2 linked regions of the Oryza sativa Japonica Group genome follow. The protein of the gene in region 2 binds, or shares a complex with, the protein of the main gene of each other region. Links are inferred from orthologs where the notes say so. Each region holds a gene or a part of one and is shown on either strand. Other genes may lie near its edges. The genes, in order: protein PEROXIN-4 and peroxisome biogenesis protein 22.

Region 1 (4,560 bases), on a different chromosome or scaffold from region 2:
TTTCTTCTCAGTGGCGATAACTACACCATTAGCAGCTGCAAACATAACAAATATACCTCAGAATCAATAAACTAGGCTAAAAGGGAACTGAAGAGAATCAACAGACTGTAGTCTCTGAGCAGTAACTACACAAAAACATATGATAGAACAATCTGGTAAAAACATATGCAGTATGTTCTACACCACAAATTTATTACATACAACAATTACATCTATCAGCGTGAAGAACGCATGTCAAATAGTTTCTTTCAATTTTTCATACACCAAAACAAAATTCATGGGCTAAAACCCCAAGACTTTAAATTGCATAAATACTGACAAGTGGCAACAAAAGCTGATTTTAAGGGTATGTAAACCTACCAGTAAGGTGGACGTTGACAGGGCAAACAAATTAGAATTTTGCACTGATACTAAAATGGGCTTCCAAACCCTAATAGGCACTAGATCAGACTGCACACACATACAACTACTAATGGGAAAACTAGGTCAGCATATACATTCAACGCCGTAAATTGGCATAGAAAACTTCATCATCACAGATGAAACCAAGCAGCTTGTATTTCTTATGTGGTTATAAAGGGGAGCACTTGCCATTGCTGTTACAAGACATACATTTATGTAGATTAATAATGATTTTCCATGGAATCCACAAGCATTTGTAAGCGAAAACGAAGCAAACATTACAAAATTCCCAAGTATCACTAAAGCAGAATAGCAGATGCAAGTAACATGGCACCTATTAGTAACCTAAGCCGTAGCAAACTTCACACTCCAGGTCTCCAGAACAAATAAAAGCTCTGCAACGACCTAAAGTTATGCGAAAAGTGCAAAATCCCCAACAAGCGCCACTTCGTCATGTGAACCGAACCAGCCAAAATCTCAAACCTCCCCTCCCCTTCTCGATTCTCATAACGCAATAGAAGTATAGAGAAGGGATTGCTTCACGGGACGCACCTTTGATCCCGAGGGACGTCTGGCCGGATCCGACCGCGGTGAGCGCGTGCTCGATCTGCACCAGCTTCCCCGACGGGCTGCAAACGAAATCGCCACAAAAACCACAGATGACGAAACCGAAACCGCACCAGATCACGCCCGATCTCCGGGCGAGGGAGGCGCAAGGCAGCACATACCTGAAGGTGGTGAGGGAGAAGGAGTACTGGCTGTCTCCCATGGCCGCCGACGCGCAGGCCTACCTGTGAGCTGCTGCTCTTCGTGTCTCGCGGCGGAAGAGGAGGCGACCGAGCGAGCGATTGCGGCGAGACGGCGTGGGAAGGGAGAGGGAGGCAGAGCACAACTCGCCAAGGAAGAAGAGGAGAGAGAGAAAGAGACTGGATGGATGGATTGCTCCGCAAGAAGGTGGTGGGTCTTGGGCCGGAAATCTGGCCCATCTGTTATTGGGTCAGCCCATGACTCACCCACCTCCCCGTCACGTCGTCTTCCTCCTCATAACTTCTTCCCCACGGGCCAACGGCTGCGCGTCTTCCCGTTCGTCCTCCTGTCCGGTCCGAGTCCCTCTGACGACGCGACTTTCCCCACGCCGGGATCGAGCTCCGGGGAGGGGAGCTGCGAGCTGGTACGTACGCTTGATTTCTTCCCTTGCCACCGCGATATTCCGATGTATCCGTGATGTGTCGTTCATGGGTAGATCGGCTAGGGATTTGGCGGCGTTGAGGAAAGCGATGGCTGCCGGGTGGGGGGAATTGTTGTATTAGACTCTCGAAGCTGATATCTGGTGTGGATTTGCGGTGGAAGCCATGGTCGGAGGCCCAGTGCCTTCCGGGAGTTGTTGGGTTATCGGGAGCCCGGAGGGCAGTGCGGCTCGCCGACTGCTGCCATGATCCCCGTCGGCAAAATCTCCAGATTGGGGGAGATGGGGGGTAGGAACCATTTGGATTAGTAGTGTATACACGGGGTTTCGTTTATTATATTTAGAGCGCTCTACATGTAGACAGCACACAGCAGCTTTAACGTATGGATGGTGTATCGCAGGGAATGTATCTCGAAGACATTGGATTAGGCTATTATTACATTTAGAGAACCAGATTGGGTTTGCGATAACTAGAAATTGAGTCTGTTATGAATTTATTGATGGAGCGGACAGGGAATTACGATTACTATCTGTTTAGCTTTTCAGTTGTGAATGATGATTATTTCAATTTAGCTAATCAAGGTTCCTCAATCAAACCGTTCTAACTTTTTCTATTTATGCTCTTGGTTACATTTTGACAGAAACACTTTGTCATATCAGTCAACAGTAGAGAGGAGACCAGATGCAGGTCAGTTCTAATTCATCTTTGGTTGCACATTTCTTGTATAGTTAGTTAGGTATGTAATGTGATGGCCAACTCTTAATCAACTAATTATTCGGGTTATGTTTTACTGGTCTCACTGAGACGTCCATGCTAAGGTGGTAACATTTAATAGGACAATCCACATTTGGCAGCAATAACTGTACTCATCTTTTCCTTTAGTAAACGGTTTGGCGCCTAGTATAGGGCTCGCGTGTTTGCATGGAAGAGTTGGCACTCGGTAGTTGGAGAGCTTTGCCGACGGTTACCAATGTGACCAGTACTGGTTTTTGTACACCCATACTTTCTTGTCGTCATACACTAGCAAAAGTTTGTGTACATCCCTTACTTTTACTAATGGCTCAATTATATAACTTGATTTACTTCACTACAATAAAACTTATAAATGTTTGGAAGATCATGTCCAAGAGACTTTCAGTATTATTGTTAACTGGAATGAGCTTAACTACTACTCCCTCCGTTTCACAATATAAGTCATTCTAGCATTTCCCACATTTATATTGATGTTAATGAATCTAGGCATATCTATCTATCTAGATTCATTAACATTAATATGAATGTGGGAAATGCTAGAATGACTTACATTGTGAAACGGAGGAAGTATGTGAATTGCTCCTTTAGTTTGGTTCCTAACATGCTATCTGAATGTCTTCAAAATATTTTCTATCGAAAGGCATCTAGAGCTAGGCTCTTTAAGGAGTATAAGGAGGTGCAGCGAGAAAAGTCAGCTGATCCAGATATCCAGTTAATCTGCGATGATTCAAACATATTCAAGTGGACTGCTCTTATCAAGGTGGTTTTTATATTGCAACTTGCAAGGTGATGCTAGAAACAGCAATATAAGTTTTTAACTAATGCCTTTTCTGATTGTATATGTTGTTAGGGCCCTTCGGAGACACCTTTTGAAGGTGGTGTATTTCAACTTGCATTCTCTATTCCTGAGCAATACCCTCTCCTTCCTCCGCAAGTTCGCTTCTTGACCAAAATTTTCCACCCGAATGTGCATTTCAAGGTTACTTCTGCATTGCCTTCTCTGCGTACATTTTACTTTAGGAAATTTGACCTATTTGAAGGCATTTGTCTCTTTCAAGTGTTGGTGAGAATGTAAATATGAAGTTGCTGTCATCTTCTTCATTTTATCAGGTTTTCCTGTAACAATCTGAATGTACTAACATGACAGAATTTACTGTGTAGACTCAACTGTGCTCTTCCTGTTATTGTTTTTGTCAAGTCGCTTCTATATTGTTACATCTGAATTAACAGAATTGAAGGAGTAATTTCAGTTATCATTCTTTTTACCTTGTTTGTGTTTCCAGACAGGTGAGATTTGCCTGGATATCTTGAAGAATGCGTGGAGCCCAGCATGGACACTACAATCCGTTTGTAGAGCCATAATTGCATTGATGGCCCATCCTGAACCAGACAGTCCACTTAACTGTGACTCAGGTAGCTCCACCTTCCTACTAATTCTGCCACATATAGTTCAGCCATTATTTTGTAATGTGAAAGTAATAGATGTTCATGCTCTCACTGAATCAAGCTATGGTGCATGAAGATTTCCATCTTCGAGGCCTCAACCACTCCATGATGTGATCTTTTTGGAGTAGTTTGAGACATGAAAATATTTGGTTCTAATTATTGTCACATGGTACATTAGCCAGTTAAAAAATATGGAGAAAAACTTGGCTATTTACTCTAATGGAGCCCCTCTATATAACCAAAGGAATTACGTGATAATTGATATGGTCAGACTCCAGTATCACCGTTGTCCTAGGCGAGGGCCAATGAGTCCCAGGACGAGGCTGAGTCCACCTCGGGTGGCGGGTGTGCTTGGGATGCTGATTAGATTAGTTCGTTACATTGAAATAGTATATCTTTCCAATTGTTATCTCTTCCCAGTTAGAGTCCAACTTGTAAGGGCCATTAAAAGGTGTTTGCTACATCATCGCGAGTTTCAAGTTCCTTGTCCTCATTCTTTTTATGCCTCATAGTTCCATGCCGCCTACTCTCCTGGGAAGCCTCATCATCCACATGTCCTAATCTTCCGCACACAACAGAAGAAACTGATTTATGTAGTTACAATATTTAATTTTGAGGCGGTCAGAGAAACCATTCCTGCTGATCCATTTTACGCAATATGGATTGAATAATTGCCTTGTAAATATTTCATTGTTGGTTATTAGCATTTATACTAATGAGCTAAGATGTGCAGTGTCACTTATATTGTATAGTTCCTCATTATGAATTAGAA
Region 2 (4,383 bases):
AATGGCGGCCGTCTCGCCGTCCAAGCTGCTGGAACGCGCGGCGGTGAACGGCGCCGCGCAGCACGACGACTGGAGGAGCCTGGGTACGGCGGCGGCGGCGGAGGCGGCGAACGGCGTGCGGCGGCACAGGTCGTCGTCGTCGTCGCGGTATTCCTTCGATTGCTAGTATAGCCAGCGTTGCCAAAGAGCGCGTTCTGTGTGTATATATCAGGTTATCAACGAGAGTTTTTGAGGCTGTAAAAAAATTAAAGACGGATTAATTACCTGCCAAAGTGCCAATTAGCAAATGTTTGCCATACACGAACATTACTCGTTGCCTGTTCAGCAATTCAGCAATGAAAATGAAAATCTGGAACAATCGTCGAGTCGTTGTAGAGTTGGTTGTTTGATGGAATTTCTTTTCATGCATTAAACAACCTAATACCGGATATAACATATTCTAATATTATGAATCATGTTGATTTTTTTAGAACACGGAGAAAATATACATGAACACACCACCATCTTGTGTAAAACGGAAAAAGAAACTGTTTTTTTCCGTTCTTTTTCCGTGTGTCAATGTGTCGTAAAAACACCATCTAATAACCTCGCAGAGAAAAAAACCACAGTACTTCAATAGTTTGTACAGAAAACATGATGGATCAGGCTAAGTTTGTTGAAATCAAGGTCTCAAAGGGAAAAAATAAAGAGGAAATCATGTAAAGCTCATACCGAGGAGTACAAAATTAGACCAACCATAGAAGAAAACCAACTCATCAAATGGCCAGTTTAGTTCCCCGCCAAAAAAAAATTTTACACATGTCACATCGAATGTTTGGACACATGCATAGAGTATTAAATATAAATAAAAAAACAACTAATTACACAGATTGCGTGTAAAATGCGAGACGAAACTTTTAAGACTAATTGCGCCATGATTTGACAATGTGATGCTACAATAAACATTTTCTAATGATGGATTAATTAGGCTTAATAAATTCGTCTTGCGGTTTATATACGGATTCTTTAATTTATTTTGTTATTAGATTACGTTTAATACTTTAAATGTGTATCCGTATATCCGATGTGACACGTTCAAATTTTACGCGTAACTAACACACCCAAAGTCATAGTTCGAGCAGTTGGTTGGTTCAACCATGAAGACTGTGACTGGGAGTAAAACAAAAAAAAAACTGAAAGACCTATTACCAAAAATAAAGACACTCTTCAAGGACCTAACTGCAAAATAACCGTCTCCTACCACGCCGCAAGCAAAAACAACGAGCTTCCCTCTCCTCCGCCCTCATTCCCTCCGACATGTCGCAGCCCGCCCCCTCGTAGAAGAGACGGCACAATTTACACTTCGCCCCCTCCAAATCTTCTCCTCCTCCTCCTCCTCCTCCTCGCCGTCGCCGCCGCGAGCGGGCGCGCTAGGGTTTCGGGCCGCCGCGGCGTCCTCCTCCTCCTCCTCCTCTTGTTCTGGTGGTCAGCGGGGGCGCGCGTCCGATGTCGTCGGGGGCAGCGGCGTCGGCGGCGGGGGTGGAGGCGGGGGCGGCGGGGGGCGGGAAGGACGACGAGCTGGCTGATCTGGTGCGGCGCCTAGTGGACGCCCTCGCCCGCTACTCCGATCGCCTCCCGTTCGACCTCGATCGCCAGGTTTGCCGCTCGGATCTGTGATCCCCCCCGTGTCGCGCGTGTGTTTTGCGGTGTTTTGATAATCTCTAGGTTTTCCTCGCTGTTTAGGGATTTGTGGTGGTCCGTGGTGTAAAGGTGGCGCGCCTTGCTTGATTGTTTGTGGGGAAGGCTAGTCTTTTTTGTTTGGAACTATATTTTATACTGTGGCCATTCTACTATTGTTTAGTTGTTATTACATACATATGAGTTCGAAGCATCGATTTGGTAATTCGTTCTTAGCAGCTGTACAAGCTAGAAGCTGTAGTAAATTTTTAGGCGTGGATTCGCAGTTCGCTAATGATATGTCTCCCTTTTGGGAAATGTGGTCGTATTTGGGTCATTGTGATAGTTGAGATTTTGATGTATCCTTTAGGTTAGTAATAGGCTAATAGTGCTGCGAGAAATAGTTACTATGTAGAAGTGTTGGTTGGCCAGAAAGATGCAAACTTTTATGATGGCTTGCTTTATGTGATATCATCGAATGATCTACTTACCTCTATAGTCAGTTAATGAATCACTAAATAATTCGTTAATGGCATGTTGTCGTTTTGTAAGTTCTCTTGACTGTAGTGTTTTACAACGCTATTTCCAAGAACTCGGTAGTAATACAACGTGCAGATCCTAGGCTAGTAATGGATGCAAGCACAGGCATACACATGCGAACATGACATGTGCATGCACGGCGAGGTAAACCGATTTCTATGCTCAGAAATCTGCGCTACAACGTCATTAAAACGACTTTAGGTATCAAATCACGTGAAAGCACTTAAAAGTGCCGTAGCGCTCGAAAATCGACCTTCTGGGCCCTATGTTGCAACTTGCAACAGCATGAGCATTCATATTATTCCACAAAAGATTGTACTTGGTGTCAATTTTTAATCCCTTGTATCAGTCGTTGTTGTGGTTTGGATGAGTGAATTGGTGCCATTTTTTGTGATTTCTCACACACAAAGTCCGTTTTATTAATTCTTGCTACAAGAATTATTGAATTACTTCAATCTTCTATTTTAGAAACTTCGCTCATTTACTACACTTGCCGCAATTACAATCACACTTATCTTTGCCTGGAAACTGTTGAGAGCTCCTCAAGAGCAACCTCGGAGGCCACGTAGACGCGTTGCTCCATCACCTAGCAACACCAGCAGTAGATCACGGCCAGGTGCTTTGACCTCAACGGATGCTTGTTCATCTTCAGCAGATTCAAGAGCACAGGAAGCAATCAACCAGCTTTTCCAGCCAGTAAACGTATTGCCTGTTTCCTTTTCTGAATACTGAAATGATGTATCTGCTTTTAGGATCCTTGGACTGATAGTTTGCTTATATTCTTCTCCAGCTGACTCTTGAGCAGCTTGTTAGGCATAAACTGAGCGAAGGACGAAGGGTATTTTGCAAGCAACTGCTTTCACACCTTTTTTTTTCACGAAATTTAAAGTTTTGTTATACCAATGCATGTTTCTTTCCCATGTGTGAATTATAATGTTTAGGTTACATGCCGGTTACTTGGTGTGATTTTGGAGGAAACAACTCCAGAGGAGCTCCAGGTGAGCAAAAGCGCTGCTGCAAAAAAAATTTCCTGTTTTTTGTTAACGAATTTAATTTAGCGGAATTATACTTTTTTTTCAGAACCATGTCACAGTGAGACCTTCTGTCCTGGAGGTTCTTCTAGAAATTGCAAAATTCTGTGATGTCTATCTGATGGAGCGCATTCTTGACGATGAAAGCGGAGTAAGTAATAAGGACCATGCATTTTTTCTGTTGCATTTATGTTTTACGCTTTACAAGTATGCTCAAGACTTGATATGTCAATATATACTGATATCGGCATATGCACGCGGAATAAACAGTAATCAATTTACCATTGATATCGGAATAATACGATGAATGAACAACTACCTGGTCTGCTATTTTATTTCATTATGTTCAGGGGTTCTTTTTTTTTTTAAAAAAAGAAAAGCAGAAGAGTATTTTTGGAATCATCACTATAGACACACTGCCTAGTACGGAATTTGAATGAGCTATTATAGCTTGACATCAGCACAACTGAATAATGTTGCAGGAAAAGGTGTTATCTGCCCTGAGTGAAGCTGGACTTTTTACGAACAGTGGATTGATAAAGGACAAGGTAAGCCGCATGATGAGGTCACTTCAGAAATATAACTGCTTAATCGTTTTTTTTTTCATTTGGGTATAGCCATTGGATGTTCGCAATGGACCTTATGTAACATTTCTTCAAATGGCAGGTTCTCTTCTGTAGTACAGAAAATGGCCGCACCTCTTTTGTGCGGCAACTGGAACCTGATTGGCACATTGATACTAGTCCAGAAATTGTTCATCAGCTAGCTGTAAGTCACAATTTTAACAATCAAGTATCATACTTATAGAAGCAGGTTTTGAGTTGCTATGCTCCCTTGCAGAGGTTTATCAAATATCAACTACATATTTCTCCACAACGAGCAGAAAGAGTAGCATCCAATGTTTTCAGCTCTACAAGCTTGGAACAATTCTTTGGAGGCCTTGATCAGAGATGATAATATGAGGTAGAGCAGGAGAGAATTTATTATTTGACATGTGCATCGGCGTGTTTCTCATGAAATTGATAGCAGCACCTGTATATCATCACCAAATTTGACATAAAACCTGTATGCTCAACCGACCGGAAGACATGACGGACTGAATATATGTACTGCACAATTCTACACGCCGTTCCTCTAATTTATACTGTCTATCTCT

What was found.
Region 1: the proteins of peroxisome biogenesis protein 22 (region 2) and protein PEROXIN-4 are in contact, whole or in part, in a crystal structure (PDB 6XOD), measured with the Arabidopsis thaliana proteins. The link is inferred for Oryza sativa Japonica Group from reciprocal best matches to the Arabidopsis thaliana genes PEX22 and PEX4. Residues at the interface, in NP_566696.2 of Arabidopsis thaliana: Tyr182, Val187, Leu188, Asp189, Asp190, Glu193, Asp214, Lys215, Leu217, Phe218, Cys219, Ser220, Thr221, Gly224, Ser227, Phe228, Arg230, Gln231, Leu232, Glu233; in NP_001031939.1 of Arabidopsis thaliana: Phe78, Phe84, Lys85, Asn125, Asp127, Asn130, Leu131, Gly135, Asp136, Val137, Arg138, Gly139, Ser142, Met143, Met146, Tyr147, Arg149, Leu150.

What each region holds. Positions count from the first base shown.
Region 1 is NC_089036.1:25,937,333-25,941,892, reverse strand, and holds the start of protein PEROXIN-4, read left to right. Parts: upstream 1-1,475; 5' UTR 1,476-1,573; intron 1,574-2,229; 5' UTR 2,230-2,270; coding exon 2,271-2,276; intron 2,277-2,982; coding exon 2,983-3,102; intron 3,103-3,192; coding exon 3,193-3,321; intron 3,322-3,625; coding exon 3,626-3,755; intron 3,756-4,560. Other genes in the region: proteasome subunit alpha type-2, read right to left, coding at 1-35, 955-1,031, 1,131-1,171. UniProt on the Arabidopsis thaliana protein: Required for peroxisome biogenesis. Necessary for the developmental elimination of obsolete peroxisome matrix proteins. May be involved in the ubiquitination of PEX5, targeting it for recycling.
Region 2 is NC_089038.1:32,505,772-32,510,154, forward strand, and holds the start of peroxisome biogenesis protein 22, read left to right. Parts: upstream 1-1,284; 5' UTR 1,285-1,485; coding exon 1,486-1,635; intron 1,636-2,664; coding exon 2,665-2,898; intron 2,899-2,986; coding exon 2,987-3,034; intron 3,035-3,137; coding exon 3,138-3,194; intron 3,195-3,276; coding exon 3,277-3,378; intron 3,379-3,709; coding exon 3,710-3,775; intron 3,776-3,893; coding exon 3,894-3,995; intron 3,996-4,067; coding exon 4,068-4,181; 3' UTR 4,182-4,190; intron 4,191-4,383. Other genes in the region: cyclin-P1-1, read left to right, coding at 1-166. UniProt on the Arabidopsis thaliana protein: May be tethered PEX4 to the peroxisome membrane and may be involved in a late step of the matrix protein import. Does not play a role in the biogenesis of the peroxisomal membrane.